Linked DNA regions of Drosophila melanogaster. The protein of the gene in region 3 interacts with the protein of the main gene of each other region in a pairwise test. Each region holds a gene or a part of one and is shown on either strand. Other genes may lie near its edges. The genes, in order: CG34376, CG13066 and spab.

The links.
Region 1: the proteins of spab (region 3) and CG34376 interact in a two-hybrid assay, tested with the Drosophila melanogaster proteins (one large-scale study listed by BioGRID).
Region 2: the proteins of spab (region 3) and CG13066 interact in a two-hybrid assay, tested with the Drosophila melanogaster proteins (one large-scale study listed by BioGRID).

The regions. Positions count from the first base shown.
Region 1 is NT_033777.3:22,444,827-22,451,699, reverse strand, and holds the start of CG34376 (uncharacterized protein), read right to left. Parts: upstream 3,602-6,873; 5' UTR 3,285-3,601; coding exon 3,080-3,284; intron 1-3,079. Other genes in the region: CG34288 (uncharacterized protein), read left to right, coding at 4,484-4,499, 4,565-4,728; CG12499 (uncharacterized protein), read left to right, coding at 5,168-5,561, 5,614-6,873.
Region 2 is NT_037436.4:16,269,872-16,274,720, reverse strand, and holds CG13066 (uncharacterized protein), read right to left. Parts: upstream 1,813-4,849; 5' UTR 1,755-1,812; coding exon 1,743-1,754; intron 1,544-1,742; coding exon 1,274-1,543; 3' UTR 1,113-1,273; downstream 1-1,112. Other genes in the region: CG13067 (uncharacterized protein), read right to left, coding at 3,069-3,296, 3,370-3,381; CG34248 (uncharacterized protein), read left to right, coding at 3,923-4,219.
Region 3 is NT_033778.4:8,961,339-8,970,632, forward strand, and holds spab (space blanket), read right to left. Parts: upstream 6,847-9,294; 5' UTR 6,817-6,846; intron 4,197-6,816; 5' UTR 4,139-4,196; coding exon 3,878-4,138; intron 3,148-3,877; coding exon 3,021-3,147; intron 2,668-3,020; coding exon 2,439-2,667; intron 2,383-2,438; coding exon 2,277-2,382; intron 2,218-2,276; coding exon 2,203-2,217; 3' UTR 1,826-2,202; downstream 1-1,825. Other genes in the region: flz (filzig), read right to left, coding at 8,680-8,844, 8,906-9,025, 9,090-9,205, 9,274-9,294.

The DNA.
Region 1 (6,873 bases), on a different chromosome or scaffold from region 3:
ATTTCGTTTGCCCATCCTTTAAAATTCATTTTTAACGTTTGCCCACCCTTTAAAAATAAATTATTTCGTTTGCCCACCCTTTAAAATTTGTTTTTTTCGTTTGCCCACTCTTAAAACTAAATAATTTCGAAAATATTTTATTCCAGAATTTTCTTGAGCTTGGAGAGTGTTGATAAACATACATACATTTTTTTGCATATATATTATATTGCAATATAAAATATTTTCCATGAAATGAAACAATGATTAAGAAAAATTGATGTTACAATTCATGAATGATTAACACTATGGATATATTGAAAATGTATGTAAATATGTAAATAACTGTTCTTTTGTAAGTAACTGTGCTTTTGACGCCACATCTTACAATTATTACATACATATGTACAAATTTATTTTTAATAGGTGAAAAATCGAAAAAACCATTTTTAAGAGGTGGGCAAACGAAAAAAACAAATTTTAAAGGGTGGGCAAACGAAATAATTTATTTTTAAAGGGTGGGCAAACGTTAAAAATGAATTTTAAAGGATGGGCAAACGAAATTATTTAGTTTTAAAAGGTGGGCAATCGAAATTATTTAGTTTTAAATGGTGGGCAAACTTTTTTTATTGGAAATTTTTATTTTAAAGAGGTTGGCTAAGGAAATTGGTTGTATTTTAAATGTGGGCAATCGAAAAAAAATTTTTGTTAAAGGTTTTTTAAAGGGTGGGCAAACGATAAAAACTAATAATAATTGTTGGGCAAACGTTTTTTGTTGATAATATTTGGTTTTAAGAGATGGGCAAACGATTTACTCTCTGATTAGACCGAGGTAAACTTAAAAGCCTTATATTTTCTAAAGTATACATTTTTTCAAAATTCTAAAGGGTGGGCAAACGTGGGCAAACGATGTTATTGCGATTTAAAAAAAAAAAATTTTGAAAAAAGCGAAATTTTTGATTTTCGAAAATTTTCGAACTTTTTCGAAAATTCATATCTCAAAAACTGGACGTGGGCAAAAAAAACTAATTGGTGGGCAAACATGGGCAAAAAATGGGCAAACGATTCCAGCTTTCAAATTTCAAAAATTCGATTTTTCCGACCCCAGCTTCTTTGAGCTATGTCCGTCTTGTTTATGCCAATAATAAATAGATAATTTTGGAGGATTAGCATTGTATTGGGGACTGTGACTGTTGGCCAGATATAACCACTTGGAACGGCACAGTGTGGATTGATTTACACGTCCGGAGCAGCGGAAACACGTATATATGTTGCGAGGCTCTCTAATCAATATCTCGACTAAACTAAATTCTTCGAGTGGCTGTAAGGGTGAAGGAGTGGGCGGGCGGGCACTCAGTTACTCAGTTGGGCAATAAATGATTGTTAAACGCGATAAAAAGATAAAAAATATTTCGACTATTGTTGTTGTTTCTGCGTGTTACACACGGAACAAACACATAGCCATTTGGCTTGTTAGCACCTCGATGACTGTTGTTGGCTGGGCTGGTCTACATTTAATAGCTTGCCCCCGCTTGGGTTCGCCGTTATTTATAGGGTATATTAATATTCTTTATCTTTGGAAATACCTCTTGTAGCAGCGTTTGTGGGTAGGTAGCACCTTCCTGCAGCTACTTGAAAAGATAAAACCTTATTTTTTATGGCCGCCTGATCAGATAAAGCCACCGTGCAGCAGGCAGCCGTGTTCAACACGACTGCGAACGAAATCGGAATCGTACCGACCAGGAGGGGCCGCGGCGATATCATATCCATACACCATATAGCGTACATAAATAGTAGTACACCACCGTTCTAGAGTCCATTTGAAGTACATTTGATGAGGTCAGCAACGCACCCAATCTCCCCGATCCGATCGAAGTGGGCTGCGGCTCCGACTCTGCGCTCTCTTGCCATGGACCTTATCACGATACTCCCTCCGCCGGTGGATACTCCGTGCGTGGCGTGGGTAAACAATCCCGGTGTGCCTCCGGAGGCGGAGGACTCCGGCAGCTACCACACAGGCATAGACAACGCGGCGGCACTCCGGCTCACCGGAGGATTATCACCAGACCTCGATTCTTAGTGGGTTGCTGCTGTTTGTCTTTAGATTTACGACTCTACAGTCAAACTTCACTAACTGGAACATGAATCAGAAACGGACAGATATTACGAATTGGATTATATTACCCTGAATTGGATTAGTAAATCAAATCGGTTATCAAATGATTACAGTTCATTACAAAGTCTTTAGATAACTGTAGGCTGGATAAACCTTAATGCATTTGCATAAACGATTTATAATCTTCCTAATATCGCTGCACTACTTAATTTTAATGGGCGATCCATCAAACGACTAACAATATTATTCGATTGATTACTTTGTATGCTAAAAAAAAGGCAAGTTAGGCTTATGAAATAAAGTGTAAAGTTAATAGGGCGGGTATAGTTGGATTTATGGTAGCGATACTGTAAAGACAGACGTAGTCGTGCTGGGACGCTCGTCTGGAACTCGGAATCGAACTGGCGGTGGAGCTGGGCTGATAACCACCGAATGTGTCATGGAATTTAACACAAAGGTTGATTTATATCTAAGCGTTTGACAAGAGTGATGAACAGACAGGCTGACGGGCGGGCTCCTCGATAAACTGACACCGCTGTCCCAGTGATAAACTGACCGATTTCTGGGGGAATATGCTTGACCAAGTAACCAGCAGTCACTCTTCCCTGGCATTATACAGACTATGTATGTATGTGAAGGGTATGAAATAGCCCAGCGAATAGTCAGACTCTTTTCCGGCTTATTAAAATTCCAAGAAAATATGTCTACAATGTATTTGCAATGCCAAGAGCCAAGCAATTTGTAAGAAACCCGAATCCTTCAGTTACGCACTCAATGTTCCATTAGGATCATCCATATGCATGGCAACGAAAGCTCGGAACATTAAACTTGACCAATTTCTGGAAGACCACTTCCGTGCCCAGTATCAAAATACACATATAAATGCCGCGCTGACAATGTAAGCCACGCTGCATAACTTAGCATTTAAACCGGGGACGCCGGCGATGGGGCCGCAATCTTGTGCTGCCTAATCGGTGTACTCACTGATGGGATGCTTGCAGGGATTGGTAGTGAATATCTCCTGGAAGTAGGGGCTGCAGATAGCCAGCACTATCTTGTGGGCATGGAGGAGCTTTCCATCGCAGGCGAGGGTCACGTCCACCAGGTCGCCGCGGTCGTACAAATTCTGGAAGCCGCTGGCTATGTTGTCCTGGAAGTTCTTCCAGCACAGCTTAAACTCGTCGTCCATCGCGGATGCGGATGCTCGCCGAAAACCAGACTTTTCCAATTCCAATTGGGGAGCGTAATTTATGCGCACAGACTTTTGCGATGATTCTCGTGCGAATCTGTTTTTTATGGCTTTTGTTTATCCGCTTTGCTCGTGATTCGTTCACGGGCCAAAAATCGCAATTCACGTATTCTCGCGCACCTTTATTTTTATTATATCAAGGGTTCGAATTTGATAAACTAGCTACCAACTACTCGATCCGCATTCACGCGCACACGATCTCGAGTCGTTCGCGTCCACGGGCGCATTGATTTTGATTTGGGCTCTAATTAACACAGTGTGATTTAAACATTTTTATCGGAAAGCGTGAAAAGCAGCGACGCTGTTTACGTTCCGGCTGATAATGAACGCACCACCCCCCCGCACTTTGAGGAACAGTGAAATGTTGGTTTTTTAGGCGCCACAGCGAACGGTCTCACTGGCCACTGGTAAACAAACGAAAATGTTTGCTGAACTTTAATTCCAGCTATAAAAATTTGATTAACAATCAAAACTGTTATCACAAAGAAAAACGTTAGAGAGGAATGAAATTCTGGGATTTTATACAGAAATAATAATTCTAAAGAGATTATAAATCCTGCAAATATATATTTTTGTAAAATGTATGTTAACTACTAATTTGTTAAAAATGTTCGCAATTACTACGTAAATTGCTTGAATTGTCAAATGCTTCTAAGCGTTTTTGAAATCTGGCCCACAAGAGCGGAATTTTCAATCGATAGCCTTTTCGATAAACGATATCATAACGACAATTGAATATTTAGCGCCAATTAGAGAGCATTGAAAACGTTTTCCCCTGATAAGAGCTTATCGCAATTGGTTTGTTGGTCGCTTCGTTGCGGTTATATCCGACCGGCATTGTCCGCTTTTATCACAGTTCTACGGTTCTTTGCACGATGCTAATACGGCCGATGGGGAACTACACTGTTGATAGCAGACCTACCCATGGTGTCATAAATAACCCACTTTACATTTTAAACAAAAAGAGAATAAAAGTAACAGCAGGGCTTATCAATTAGCCATGAGTCGTTTGTACGCCTCAGGTGCACACATACGCACCCAGTCAATTGGCCACCGATTTGATTTGCCCGATTTAGTGCTCAAAGAACTTTCAGCAAATTAGCCCACTCGTCCCGAGAATCAGTAAAGAGTATACCATAATGGGTTGTTGTTTTGGTAAGTGATTTGCAGCTATCTTCAGAAGGCAATAACAGCGACTAATAATAGTTGTGTACTTGCAGGCAAAAGTAAATCAGTCGATTTGCCCGCGGTTCCGCCGGCTCCAGCCAAACAACGCTCCACTCTGCCAGAATTCCCGATTTCTGGATCGGTGACTAGCACGGCTCCTGCAGGATCTGGATATGGATCTGGAGGAGCCACCAATGCGGCCCTCGAGGATGACTAGACGTGGTTAAAGGAACAGAAAAAACGTTCACGTCCAGGGAAAACTGTAAATTTGCCAAATGGCAGATTGGATTATGAGTCATTCCGTGCCGAGATGTGGTTTTTTCAAAGTTGTGCACCCTTTGTAGTTAGTATTGTAGTAAAATACGTTGTTTATTGTTGGAGAGTATAAAATTGTTGGTAAATTAAATCATAACTTTAATCTCTTTGAATAAGTTGCTGTTCTGTTTTTTTTCCTGTTTCGCCAGTTTATATTTTAGCGCGCCAAGTGTCGCCCTATACAACACTGAAACAAGGGCGGTATTTTTCGGTATTTTAAAAAGGGTCATACCATTCTCTGCCAGCACGTGTGTGCGGCTGTTTTTGTGTTTAACTTAAATTTTAAACGATTTATGCTGTAAATAGGCAAATATAATTTATAATATTATTATTAAAGCAAAATGGCCATTCAACCCAATCGAAGAAAGAGAAGGCACGAGGAGACAACTGCTGAGCAAGAGGATGAAGGTGAAGTGGAGGTGCCCAAAAAACTGGCCAAGGAGTCCGACACACCGAAGAAAAAGAAAAAGAAGGATAAAACTAAGGAATCATTCGATGAATCCACGCTGGAAAGCACTGAAACCGATCCTGCTGACTCCACTCCATCAAAGAAGAAGTCTAAAAAGACAAAGACATCCGACACAAGTGTAGAACAACAGGTGGAAGTGGAGATGGCTGAGGATGAAATAAGTCGCGATTCCGGGATTGATCCCGAAGAATCCCGCATACACTTTCCCAACGACTTTAAGATGATGCACTTTCGAACCAAGCTTCGCGGCAATAACTTCATAACAGGTGGGTTAATACGTTCAATAAAAGATCGCTAACTCACGAATCCCAATTCCAGAACTGCGACACTTCCTGCACATGTGCTCAACCACGCGTCCTAAGCTTGCGGCTAAGTACATAGAAAAGCGTGGAAAGCCCTTGGAGTTAGCAGAAGCATTCGAAAGGATCGATAAGACTAATTTATTTCACGTGGACTACCTCACAGAGGCTTTGCACCGAGTTTTGATGGAAATACTTACCAACCAGAAGAGCCACATGGAGTCGGCTGTCCACGGGTGTAGATATTTTCTCAAGGTTCACGGAGGAGTGCTCGAAAATCAAATGAAATCAATGCAGCTAGGCCATCGGCGTAATGCCCTAAAACTGCTCACCGCTATTGTGTGCGTGGAGCCTCAATTGGCCCGCCAAGTTCTGAATTCGTATGATGTGCTTTCCAACGTGACTGTGACGCAGAAATTGCTGTCCCATGAAAAAAGTGAATACCAATGCGAGGATACAGTGCGCAAAGCGTTTATTCTCTTTATTTTGGCCTTCCTGGTCGAGGGCAATACTCTACTTATCCGGAACATCCTGGATCGAGGGCAACTAATTGGTGTGCTGGCCAAGGGATTGGTTTACGATGACCACGTAACCGTCTGCGTGGTGCTTAACGCACTACGGCAATATGTGCTGGAGAACCCCGAAATACAGAAGACCAAAAAGGTTCTGGTTTTCGATTTAGAGTGCTGCAAAAATCTGCGTCGCCTCTACGATTGGGAGGGACCCATGGGACTCAAGGTGATGTTTGCTAAATCGAAACATGTTTCTAAGATACCTCCAAACCCACAGGAGGCGGAAGCGGTATCGGCTGCCGTTCACGAACTCCTGCTAGTCCTTTTGACTTCCCGCAAGCACGGCATCTGCTTTGATGCGATGACGCACTACCGCCAAAAGCAAAACAAACTGCAGGGCAGATTACTTGGCTCTCTATTCAAGCCCTACGATAATCCGCGCAAAGTGGATTTGGTTATTCAAACACTAACTGCTTGTCCAGACTTGGGACGCAATACAGTGAGGAATTGTTCCTCTCTGCTCAGTCCGGTCAAAACCAAGCCGAAAGATTTGCCCATAGCTGTGGCGTTTCTCGCCCAAATCATTAATGCAGTCCCGCCCAGTGCTCTATCAGCAGCATTCGATAAGATGACCCTAACGGATTTCTCATTTTGGATCAAGGAGCTGTGTTTGCCCATCGAAGCTTTGCTTCACATTACGGGTAAGAAGTACCTGAGCGATCCAGACTTCAATTTGAGATTGGCTGTACTGCGTCTGCTGCTTTCCA
Region 2 (4,849 bases), on a different chromosome or scaffold from region 3:
ACTCTTTCATAGAGTACCCACTCCAGTAAAGCCTGGGAAACGGAACGTTTAAGTGCAACTTCTGGGGCTTCGGCAATTATAAATCGCCGCATGTTTCGCGAGGGGGCAGCTGATTAATGGGGCGTGACCATCGAGACAAAAGGCAGCGTTAAATTTTAATTTAATTTTCCGACTACAGCCACAAAACAAGTAAATTAGCTGCAAGAAGTGCAACTGCACGTGCAGAATGAGGCGTTTTTCAGCTTTTACAGGGCTATAAAAAGCGTTGAAAGCATCGAGGAGAATTGAGAATCAGCAACTCAAAGACTTGAATTAATTTGCAAAATGTTGTTTCTTAGTTAAATGTCGTTCGCTTGATTTGATTTTCATACTTTTCGACGGTTGCACGCGGCGTATGATTAATGCCAGAGTTGGCGTGGTGGGTTCGTTTGAGGCGTGGCTTCGTTCAACTTATCGATGGCGGGTGATTAGCAAAATGCAATTTAAGCGGCGCCCCTCAATGTAGTACCATATTCGCAGTGGCGATGGAAATGCATTGACCTCTAAGCCAACACACACGCAACTTGCAATCAAAGTGATAAACAATGTGCCGCGAGCTGGCCACATAGACCTCGAAGGGTCAGGGGGGTATCAGGGCTAAGGGGGTGCGAACTGCGTAAACAAAGCTCAAGGATTGCGTCCTGGAACGTGGCGAAGTGTCGATGAACCAAAGTGGGCGCACAAACAGGCCAGAGTTGGGCACACCCTTGGAGGGCACTCTGTCATATGGGAGCTGTCTAATGAAAATGGTGGCCTGATTTAACCTTAAACGAATTCATTCTTCTCATCATATAATAGTTTAAAGTGCTCTGGTGACCATTGCAAATGTTAAAAATTAAAGCTTGCAGCACTCGTTAATAATTCAAATGAAATCCCTTATCTTGAACTTATAATTCTATGTAATACCACAAACTAAAGCTATATATATATACTTCCCATCCAGGTATCTATTGCAATAAGACGGCGCTTCCCAAGAGCAACCTGCACTATCTGTTTCCTTTGAAGAAAAGTCCCGATGCCCACGGCAAGATTAAAATTAAACGGAAGGAATAAAACTCGATTCACTTCTCAGTCGGTCAGTGCGTGGGCCTGATGCATTGCGTTTTAATTTCTGTTTGCCTGCGAGCATGTATCTCCATCTCTGTTTGTATCTGTATCTTTCGCCGTGGCAGTGACGACGTCCGGTGGACACGTGCGGCAGCCTTGCGGAATCCCTTTGCCATCCTGGGACATCTTACTTCTTGAGGATGGTGGCCACAGGGGCGGCGGCATAAACGGCTGGCAGGGCGGCGCTGTGGGCCACACTGTGGGCACTGTAGCTACTGGCATAGGGGGCCACGTAGGGGGCGTAGGCAGGGGTGTAGGCGGCGGTGTAGGCGAGGGGTGCGGCAGCGGGCAGGGAGCTGTACGCCAGTGGAGTGGAGTAGGCCAGAGGGGCATTGTAGGCCAGCAGACCAGGATTGGCAGCAGCGGCGGCGAACAGGGCGCACAGGACAACGGCAAACTGCAGGATAAAATGCATACAAAAAGTACATTAAAATACACATTTACAAGAAGTTTTATAAATATAAAAAATTGTTTGAAAAATCTACACTGTTTGATAATAGTTTTATTTCGAACACACGCGTTTTTGTTTGTATTTAGGATTGTGAATTGTTGCATTTTTGAAACATTGTATCCTTAAAAAAATGTTGGAAACTTACGAATTTCATCATTTTAATTGATTTGGTTGTGTTAGCGTCGAAGTTAGACTTCTGATTGATGTCTTGTGCTGAGTTCGAAGTGGTTTATATAGGTAAATATACATAGCATCCTTGACAAAGCCCATTGAAAAAGCAAAAACCCAGCAAGTTTAAAGCATTTCCATCACGTACCAGGGCTAAAACAGGGCCAAACATTTGGTCTCTTTTTACTGGCACAATTATAATGTTGCAGATTTGTGTTTGTCGATATGCCTGCGAATAGTACGCATTCCTTGTGAATTTATTATTGAAAATGAATGTTTTTTCCCGCTCATCTTGAGCATTTCCGCAACTGGCGTCAGCAGCTGTCGTTTGCCGATTGAATTATCATAATTTAGCACTCAGTGCGTTTTGTGGGCTGTGAACGTGCGTGTCATTCCAACCGTCTTGGCCATCTCCGGAGTTCGGCTCACTCTGTACGTTTCAATTGTCAGCCACTCGAACACGCCACTTTGCATTCTAATCAGAGATGCAAGTAAAAATAGAAGCGGTTTATCCAGTTTCGAAGGACGTCATCGAGTTGAGCCCTTGGCTTAAGGTTGAGGACACCAGAAACAGGGAATCGAAAGCTTTGCATAAATGGAATCGCGAGTTCAATAAACCGGAGGTCTCGTTGACCCTATTAATCCAATGCAAACATGGACATTCCACCACGAAGAACACAACCTCCTTTACACTTCCTTTTTTTTTAACAAATAATAGGTTTTAAGTCCAAAAAATAATTTCCAATGTATCAAAGCAATTTATTGATACAAAGCTTAAAAAAGTCATTGATTCCTTCCAGCCCACCAAAATTAAAAAATGTAGGGGCTAGCAATTTATGAAACTAGTGTGAGAAATATTTACTGAAAATATGATATCACCTACTTTATAAATAATATTTCCATTGGATTTTAATGTATACCAAATTTAGTACTTAGTACCCATTGCAAAAGAGTACTGCCTAAAAGTATGTGATTATACATACTCCCTTCACATTAGAGATGAATAAGTGATGCAATAAATTATGAACAAGTGGTATACGTTTTACGCAAAATGCAGTATTTATTTCAACAAAAATATTCCCTTTCTTGAAGTGGTATGTCCTGTTCCCATGACTTAACTTTCAGCAGTCGGCAGAGGTGGGGAAATGTAGAGTCTGTCGAACTAACACCAGGGATGTAAGAAGATTGGATGTTGCAGGTGGTTAGCAGGAAGGTGTGTATCCTTGTTGCAATAGATGTGTATATGTTTATATTCAGGTCCAGTTCAGCAGTCAGGTTAAGATCACGATCCATTCATCCAGTCTTAACGGTAGTAGGCGGCATAGGGGTAGGCGGAGTAGGCGGACGCATAGGGGTACGTGTAGGCGGAGTAGGCGGCGGCCACTGGAGCGGTGTATGCCGCGGTGTAGGCAGCCGAGTAAGGAGCAGCTGCCACATAGGGAGCGGAGTAGGCGCTGTAGGCCAGAGGAGAAGCGAGCACCGCCGGCTTGGCAGAGACGCAGGCCACGATGGCGAACAGGCACAGAGCGAACTGAAAGGATAGGAAAAGTGCTTATGAGTAATCCGTTGTTTGGTGGCAAGTCCAGCTATCCTGCGATCCTTACGTATTTGAACATGTTGGCTGTTTGGGTTGGTTGTGAACTGTTGGTTCTCAAGTACTAGACTGATATCTCCTAGTGCCCGAGTACTCGGGTATATATAGCAGAATCGGTCGAGAAAATTCCATTCCAATTCCCCACATTGAAGCGAAGGTGATGCGTGGCCATTGGTATGCACATCCATTCCCAGATCGGTTCCAAGTCCATTTTGAAGCCAGCCAAGGAGAATCTTGAGCATTATGGCTTTGCACTTTTGGTTTCGTTTGGTATTTTTAAAAGCGTGACGAAAAGCGAAAAACAAATCGAATGTGAGTCCGTGTTTTGCATACTAAAACGTAGCTGGATATTGATCCATCCATCGGCAAGTCTGGAAATGACCCACAAAAACTGCCGGGTTGGGTTCAGAAATTTATAAAGCTGGGTTCTGTCGCTCCAGTCATGTTTATTTCGTTTTCAGAACGTTGAGCTATCAGATCTTATCAGCTCGGATTAGCTATGTACAGGAAATTAGTAAGTCTCAAGCGGTTATCCGCCGAGAAGTCGATGCACTTGCTCAAAGATGATGAGGCCTCGCCATCGGTGGCCATTTCAGGTGGTGCTCCTCCTTCTGATCCACCTGGCGGCCGCGGGTCAGATCCAGGATGCTGCCGAGGAGATCGATGTGCCGCCTGCCCATCGGGCTGCTCCACCACCGCCCCGCCAGGCAGCTGGAGCTGCTGTTCCCCCACCACCACTGGGGCCACCACCACTTGTGGGCTCTGCACCGCCGCCGAGCTATCCTTTGTTCTACCCAGCTGCGTGGCTGCCATTCGGACGCTACAGCAACTCCATTCCCGTCCACATAGTGGCTGCCTAGGGGAGCGTCCTCCCACTGGCCATAAGGTGGTCAAAGGACACTGTTGTCCCTCCTGTTGAATCCTTTCCCTGTTATGGTTGCTATTTTACTCGTTATTGCCCGCTTTAAGCCAGAAATATATTTTTAGACACGCACATGCATAATTATTTATTCGGGTTGACGCAACTTTCAGTCGGCAATTTTTAAATGGCCAACACGTGATTCTCCTACCAGAGATGCCGGTTACCTATACATTTCGAGAAATCTATCACTTTTGCCATCTGTGATTTGTCAATGGATGATGACGCAACTGAATTGGTATTTTTTCGGGCTACATTTCCGCATTTTAAGTGGGCAGAACAGACGCTGCCAGAACAAAAGGTTTAGAAAAGGTGACAGTAAAAAAATATTAATTATAAAAAACGTATATGTTTAGGTGACTTTCTTTTTAAATACTATCAAGAACTTTTGTTGCCGCCAAAAGATTGAGAAATAATAATTAATAGTAGAAAATCCATTAAAAAGTATTAATAATATATAACTATAGCTTTTTTGCTATTGAAAAACAGAACTTGGTGTTCCCATTTCCAGAATAATATTTTTAAGCTTTTAGTTTGATTTGTTTTATTGCCAGTCGGGTCTATTTTTATT
Region 3 (9,294 bases):
TTTAAAATGTCTACACCAAAACTCTCGACCCTGGCAACCTGCATCGTCACGCATATTTTTTATTTTTGTTATTTCATTTACCTTCATATTGCCTGTGAACATATCCCTTTATAAATCCTGTTTCTTGTTGTTTTATAACCAAAGCTTGTTCTTCCTATTTTATTGTAGCCATAAATAAGTAAACAAAACTATAACTTTACATGGTATATATAAATTTATATACATATATATATGAATTGTATACTATATTTGCTTCTATTATAAATTGTATGGAACTAAATGTTTCGTGAACAAACCTAAACCATTAATTTAATCCTGTGCACAGAGTTTGGGTGCGCTAATTCCGGGTCACACCATATGTTTAACATCATAAATCAACTAAATCTCACATCAAATGCCATAAAGCTAAATGAGTCCATTATCAATGTATACATGTGAAAACACAGTCCATTACCAGAATGCAATAGTAGTTTCAATACAACCCATGTTTCCTTTGACCATCAATACACGCCAGCTGAGAGATTAAAGTAAACATTAATTAACATTTTATTCATTTCGATGTAAGCTAAGAGTAAGAGAAAGATTGTAATTAGGGTTATGATTAAATAGTACCTTCATATTGTTATTTTTTCGGTCTGCGAAATTTACTTTCCTATTTTAATTTAATTTAAGCTTTACTGAAGTTAATCACATCCTGTACGAACACAATCGATTTCTTTGGAAAACAAATCTAAACTAAATTTATAGCTCTATTCGCGTACGTATATTTAGGTTTTGAAACTATTCCTGTAATTGTAAAATCTGTAAATAATCTGTGCATTCAGTGCATGCGAGTCAAACAAAAAATGAGAGACAAGTTTCGAAGGATAGCGGACTTGATATTTGTTTGACTGTTCCAAGCTAAGTTTAAGCCGAAAGTTGTTCTTAAGACTAACCCCCAATACAACCTCCGAAGTGGGGCACTTCCTAAAGCCCACGACCTTAGTCCCTGATCCAAACCAAAAACAACTTAAAAAAAAAACTGAGTTTAAGATTCAATTTAAACCGAAGAACATAAAATCAACAAAAGACTTGAACATGCGCAAAAAACATATAAAAATTAATTTTAAAAATAAATCCTATTTTGCTGGCAAACCACACTTTTGGTTCGAAATTTACAAGAATTCAAGAACTAAAACGATGCACCTTGTGCGGTTTATGTTAGGCTCAAGTAAGCGAAGTAAGTGTCTCAGCCATAAAGTTAGGGACGAAAGCATTTGCAATGTGTATTATTCGTGAATGGATTGGATCATGAGAGATATATAGAATGTCAGAGAGTTGAAGAACGAAAGGAGGAATGATTTACTTGGGTGTAATGTTAAAAACAAAAGCGTTGAAAGTGTAAACAGAGTCTAACTTTTAGCTTTAAGCTGCGTTTTTAATGGCACTTTAAATAAAATTACAAAAATAAAATCAACCGAAAATATTTGTAAAGAATTTTCTGCGGTTTTTATTCACTATCTTCTGGTGTATTTTCAACTATTAATTCATTAAGTTTGCTTGGGCAAGAACATAAAATTTATTATGTAAGTTTATTTTGGGTCATAAGACTTGGTGCTTTCGCCACATCAAAAGTCTTCTATGTTGTTCAGGTGCATTCGTCACTAGTTTATAGGTGCGTCTAGTTGTGTTTTTGTTTTACTAAAATTTGAACTTGTTTGAACTCAATTTAATATATATATTTTTAAGAGTTAATAATATATTAGTCCCAAGAATAAATCCGTTAACTTACCTTTCTCTCATTCAAATACGAATATATTGTTACCAAATAAGTTTCAGTGAAAGTGCAGATATTTGGTAATGCTTTTATTGTATTCGATTTACATTTAGACGTGAAACGATTTAATTGTTGCTTAAGTATGGTAAAACTGCATTGGAATACTCTTCTTTCTGCTATTAACATTGAATGCCTCAGTCAGTATATTTGGAGTCTCTACTAAAAACACATCTAGATGTCTAAGATCGTTTGAGTAATAGCAAATATTCATATGCAGATTATAGAAATACAAATGCTCTAAGCTATAGCAATTTGACCTTGATATGTATTTGTTTAACAACTTGATATGTTTCAATATTGAAGTAATTCATACTCAATCCAATTCAATTGCTGTTTGGCTACTTTCCTTCGGTTTAATGAGCTTTGCTACCCGAGAACTGCGATCTTCAGTTGCGTCGATGCTGTACGGGAATATAATATAACTCAAATTCGTATTTTTGTTTTTGGACTATATCCATACCTCTGCTCCGACCATATCTACACAGTCGAAGGCATCGCGAAAGTAGCCACAGCTCAGCTTAATGGCTGCCCGGTGGTGCAAACGCTGCTGTTGACAGCACATTCCGCTGGAAAGTGGGACAGTTAGACCTGAATTGGGCTTATCAGCGCTATGCGGACTCACTTGATCACCTGGCAGTCGCTGCTGCTGCTGCACTCGCTGCCCAGCGGTTGCCTCTCCTTCGCTCCGAATATACCCTCCAGCAGCGACGTGGATCCTCCCGATTCCACGCTCGGCTCACACCGCCACGCTCCCTCCTGGGGGACCAGCATGCAGGAGCTGCCCTGCGGACAGTCCGCATGTCCCTGGCACAGATCTCGCTGACGCCCAAAGACATATACGCATTTGCCTTCTGCAAAATGATAGAGTTTATATAACATTTTTGTAATGGGTTGTAGAATAGCATCAGTTGATGTAAAAAATTTATCCTTATTTTTAAGGAAATAGTGCAATAGATAGAAAGAAACCTTTCCAACACCTTAAAGTACAATAGGCTCTTGATCCAGGTCAATAGCCAAGTAGATCCTAATGCTAGTTTCAGTCTGGTGTCCACTTTCTTTCAAATGTTTTAATCCCATATTTAAAATTTTGTTTGTCTAGGATGATTCCAAGTATTGTCTCATTAGCTATTGTCAGCATTAGCTATTCCAAGTGTAAGTGAGTGGGTTGGGTCACAGCGGACCAAGTGCAATTAGACCAACTTACCGCCGTATGTGCTGACGCAAACTCCGGAAGGACAGCAATCGTCGTTGAGGAGGCAGGGTCGGTCGGCACAGGGCGTGTCCTCAATCAGCGGCTCCACGATTCCGTAAACTTCGGTCTGTTGGCGCATCTGTGGGGAAGGTCGAGTGCGGTGGCAATTAGTGTGGCATTTGTTGGGCGCACGGTGCGTATGCGCTATATGTATATCCCCTTACTGCGCTGCAGCAGTTGGTTGGCTATCAATAACGCTGACACTCGTTGCGCGTTAATTAATTTGAGTTTCAGCGCGAACTCTGAAATTTCCGTTGATTGAAACCATTGATCCAGTGGGCCAATAAAACCATACAAGCATACGGGTTCCAATTTCAAATTGCTGCAAAACACGGCGCCAGACGCCTTCGGATATTTGTGGCACGCCCACACGGCGTATGCGTTTTCAGATGTGTTCGAGTGGTGCGATTTTTATTGAGTTTGGGAGTCGCCTCTAGCTGCTTAAGCCAGGAATCTTTTTTCCATGCATTAAAAGATTGCCATTTTTCAAGAGCACACATTCATTTGAATTTTAAAATCGTATGCTCAAAAGATTGTTTTTAAATCAGAAAGTAAAAGAGTTTTTTTCATGCTTTTCTAATAAATTAAAATTACTTGAAATAAAACTAAATCTTGAAAATTGTCCTGTCTGTTGGTTTAGACAATTTACAATCGAAATAGCTTTTCAGCCTTCCTTTAAAAACTTCGTTAGATAAACGAATCCATTTTCCTAGCTGCAGACATTGCCCATCATCCCGTTTTACTGTACACATACCCTGTAGTTTCGTCCTGCAAATACCTGCAATCACAACCTCCACTCATGCACTCACCTGCTGCGGCGGAGGATGCGGCTGGTGCTGCTCCTGCTCGACGGCGCCATAGGGGCCCAGGTATTCGTCAAGGCCCAGATCAGCGGCTCCGGAAAACGGGGCTCTGCGGTGCATCAAGTTGCGCGATTCCCGGCCAAATAGGGCGCGCTGCCAGGCGTTTCCGGATGCGAACGAGGATGCGGACGCCGCGAGCGAGGGGTCCAGCTGGTGGGCCAGGCCCAGGAGCAGCAGCATGGCTGCCCACCTCGGAAAAATGCTCATAGTGGTCACGTTAGTACATCATCACTAGTGGAAAGCCCGCTCTCCTTCTCCCGATGAACTGTGAAAATGGAAACCGAGTACACGCTTAATTAAAACGTATGCCCGCCCAGGAGTCGATTGCTGACCTCCGGGAGGAGCAAACTTCCGTGTTCAAGCGCTCGAGTGGAGCGTGGGGCATATAAATCTCTGTCTTCCAGCTCAGAATCGCATCAGCGGTTCTATTAACGTTTTCCCGGCAAATATCCCCGTCGGGCAGCTCATTAAAATTGTCGGCTTGCTTTTAGCGTTATTATATTACCGGCTGTGCCTTAATTTATGTATTCTCAGACTTGGTTCACTCTCGTGTCTCCATTTGTATGGCCTGATGAAAGGCTCACATATAAAGTCGGTGGGTAACAATAAATTATGCAATTTTAGCATATTGCCTACTTTTGCACGTTAGCTTAATAAGCCATCAACCAAATAAGCAAAAATCGTTAATGTATGCCGAAGGTATAAGTTAAGAATCGTTAAAAATTAAAGGAAATGGAAACTTAGCTTATTCAAGTATTTCATTAAACTCAATTAAAGATGCACATTTAAAGAATATTCATATTTGCAAGTTTTAAAAGGAAATTATAATACATGTGAAAGTTGAGCCTGCCTGGGAGAACACGAAAGCTCAAAGTGAATTTTCCTTTCATTTGCTAAATGTTGTTAATTGTATTCAGTTTCGTGATGACTTCCCCCAGGAAAAGTAATTAAAACAATTTATGCAAAAGCTTCTAGCAAACGAATGAACAGTCTCAAACAGCTTTTAAATAACTTCTAATGTGGGTTACGTTATGCGTACTAAGTCGACTTAGTGGTAACTGTTCGTCCCTCAACTGAAATAGCATCATTTTGGCCTTAAAATAGAATCGAGCTAGATTGTTATATATAATTGCCTACTTATTGGGGTGGCACTTTGTAGCTGCACAGACGACCTTGATACTTTTGGCTTGATTTAGACCTTCTTTGGACGGTCGATTGACAACAGTTGTTAACACTCATCCATTAATAAGTTAGTGGGTGAAAGGCAATGGGTTCACCGAAGGCCAGGGAAAATATTTTCCGGCTGTCACACGAATATCCGGCGTGGGAGTGCAATTTCATTAATGTTCCTGCCTTCGAAGGCGGTTCAGGCCAATGTGGTTGACTAAACAAACGCGGAGTCCCTTTATGATTCTCCTTTAGCATTTTTATAATTACTTTCTCACACTTTCACTGGACGCGGCTCGTCAAAGTTCTTGTCGTCCCAGTTCGCGGGTTTGTTGCCAAGCATTTTGACCTTTTGGTTGCCGAGGACAGGAGTCATCCATAGCCTGTTATTAAATCTTGACTAATTGAGTTTCAGCCCAAAAAGGGCGTCCTGTTTTTTTAACCCGTTAGGGAAATTGAAATTGATCCATGTGTCTTTCGTCCTTTAATTTACCAAAGTGCTCATGCTTGCGACGTGACTTCTTTATCCGCTGCTAAATACTTCTAATTGCATTGGGCCACTGGAAAGTTTTGCAATTAGTATTTCTTCTATAGTTACAAATTCTCCGAAACTTTGCCAATGATTGGAAGGTGGCTTTAGTTTGGAAGCACTTTGGCGATGAGTCGATAAAAGTTCCTTAATTGAGCATAAACTTTACCTTTTCCGAGAATTATGCTTGCTGCGAACCTTGGCCCTTACAAATAAGATCCTTTGCTGTGATCATTGCGATAAATATTCTATTGAAAGGGCTAATGTATTTCTTAGAAGGGAATATAATCAGAAGGTACACCAGATGCCATGAAATATACAATTGTTTATATATCCATCTGTATGTCTGTCTGTCCGTATGAACTATTAGATCATGGGAACTATTAAAAGTTGGAATAAGTAATCATTCATATTGAAGCGATGAAGTTGGCATGTCTGTCATGCGTCGCATTTCTATTGCAGAATATAAGTCGGAAAGGACAGAATTGGACCACTATATTATATAGCTGACAAGTTAAAATTTGCAAAATGTATTACTAAGGATATCAAAGAAATACTAGATTCGTTGTTTCTGATCATAAAGTCTTCTCTTGGGAATGCATCAGTTTTGTTAAGTATACAAGATGTACATATATAAGATGCGAATAACCTTGGGATTGCCAAGGTTCTGAAGTGTGCTAAAAAAAAACTTATATGCATGATCTCCACGGACAAATCAACATTTCTTATACCTGCTTAAGCAATCGTATTTAAAAGCAACAAGTTTAGTGGAAAGCAATTCAACTCGACAAAGCACCACTTTACGCCATACCAGATAAAAATGATCAAATGAAAGGGATCAAATCCCAGCCGAATTAGCTCTAACTAACGCACTGTGCCGGTAATGGCATTCCATTTTGTGGCATATCCAGTTCCATATCTACGCTTTAGCCTGAACTCAACCACTCAATTCCACCTACGCTCGACCCACTTTAAAGTGCGAAAAAACGGTTCGCGGTGGAAATTAGACCATGATTTGCCGTAGTTGACTGCGACACGCCCGTGGATGCACTTAAAGTGCAGGTGCACAGTTGTCCTGCGCCATTCCATGGGCAGGAAGGAGTTGGTTATACCAATACACGTGTCAACTTTCACTTTCGCCGCACGCGAACGGGGTGGAGGGATGGGGTCCTTATGGCGCACAACATACCTGCTGGCTGGGCGTCCTGTCGGCTACTGAATGTCTGAAATGGCTCAAACAACACCTGTCGGCTAGCTGCCGGAAAGGAGCTTTTTGGCTACGAAGCTTTTAGTTGGATTTTTATGAATTAAGTGTGTTTGTGGCGCAGTCAAAGCTCCTAGGATTCAGTTTTAATGGAGTCTCCCCTCCGCCCGCACCATACCCCGTGTATGTGTGTTTTGAGTTTTGGCTGCGGGAGTTTCGGCCATGACGTCACTGTGATTTGTGGCAGCGGTGCAAAATTAATGAGCCTCCTCTTGTTACCAAAATGGGATCCTTGATTCGGAGTGGCTGTCCTGCAGGCAAATCTGTTAAATGGAAAACACGCAATTTGCTTGCCCCAACGAGATAAAAAGAGTCTGCCCTCCAGGACATTCCGTGCATCAGGATAATGAGAGCTGTATGCTCATGCCACTCACTCTTCGCTCTGAATGTTCGATGAGGAAATGATTTTGGCCACGTGGAGTGGAAATAGCGTTGCACTTGTGTGTACTTTGTATAATTAATTTACGTTTATTTGCCAGTAAATTATGTTTAGTGCTGCACGAGATGAGAATGATCTGTATTGAATGTTAACAACATCTTTAGTTAACTTAGATTTTATTTCAAATAGAATAAAAGTTATTGCTCAAAGACTGGTTTTCAGTTTAGTTTTTAAAATATACGTTATTGGTCAGGGACTACATATAATATAAAGATTTATCTCTTAACAGTGAATTACTCACACATGATATAATATTTAGGGACACAAATTATGGAATAAATAGCTGGTAAAATGCTAACAATTCTGTGTGATTAAATAGAATAATGAAGATGGTGCCAAAGGATTGTGGCTTTAGTGTCGATTTAGCAGCAGCATTGACATCTGGAGAAGCTGAAACAGAAGCTCCCAGGCGCAACCACATACAATATTCCCAATGGGGAAAAGCTAGGGCTGACTGAAGTGGCAACTTTCAAAAAAAGGAGAGCAAGCTCGCGTGGCGGAAATTGCATCAAGGCTACAGCTCAGTTTATGTCAAGAATTCCACCGCTCTTTGAGTTTTGTAAAGCTGACATTCAATGCTAAAATACATACATAAAAGTTTAACCTTTAGTTACTTTTAAGGCTAGCTACTGGAGAAAATTCTGAAATCATAGTTTACAAATGCAACCCCTTTGTTTGTTTTTACTAAAATGTATGTCGTTTATTTCGATTTTTTTTCGATTGGTTCGTTCACTTAACAATTAACATATTTAGATAAAAGAATTAATAATATAAATCGATAAATTAGTAAATTCAATTGAACTAAAAACATTTGCTCTCGCTCTCATTTGAACATAACAACAATTTGCCTATGAAGATAACAATTTTTTTAGTTGAATCAAACGCACAAATCGTCGCGCTTCCTCACGTCACGTCACATAAATAAATAAATAGTCAAATAAATAGGCTTAGAACTAGAATAAATATGTCTTATCCCTACGTTTTGCAATCAGCGTAATTCTCATTCAGACTCTACAAGTGTTAGGCACGCGTACTCAAAAAAACGAAATCTGCAGTCATCCTCAAGCGAAATGTCGCTAACTCGGAATGTGGAAATACCCGGCGAATGTCGTTTGAAATGCTGCAGTTGATTTTCTATTAAGCTAATGAAATGATGGTAGCATGGAGGGGGTTCGAGGAAGGGGTCCGAAGATGCGACGTCGCAAAGGATGAGCCAACTTTCCCACGCTTCTAGCCGCGACTCTTAAAACTCTACGTTCTATTTACACTTGGTGCTCCTGCCTCAGCAGTTAGTTGGCGCTGGCCATCTCTGGGATGGGGAGAAACTTGAAAACTGTGGAGGCGACTACCTATTTCACGCCCGTTATGCTGCGCAGCCACGGCTTGTAGAAGGTGGTGCGCATATAGACACCTGGCAGATACGGCGCCGCACACTTGATGCCGTGGGAAACGGTTCCGGCCAACTCGTAGCGTCCATCCGGTCGTTGCAGCACCAGCGGACCGCCACTGTCGCCCTGTCGGATAGTGAGACGGATTAGGGTACATTTTCAAAAGAAAAGAGTTCACCGAGCTTACCTCGCACGAGTCCTTTTGTCCGTTGGCATAGCCGGCGCACAGGAAGGAGGTGAGAATCTTCTTGTTGTGTCCAGCGGTGTGGAACATCTCCTGGCAAACGCTGTTCTCGATAATCGGCACCTAATTTAAATTAGCCCCGGGTCAGTTCGCAATTTAAAGGACACTCTGTTCACTGCGTGCTTACCTGCACCTCCTGGAGAACGGAGGGAACTCCACCTCCGTACTTAAGGCGTCCCCATCCCGTCACTGTCGCCATGCGTCCAGTGAAGTCCGCCACATCATTGGGCATGCAAATGGGCACTGTTGGCGAAAAGAGGAATAGATTAGCCCTTACTAAAGTATACATATGTATATGATATGAAACTCACCTATATGGGTATCGAATTGCA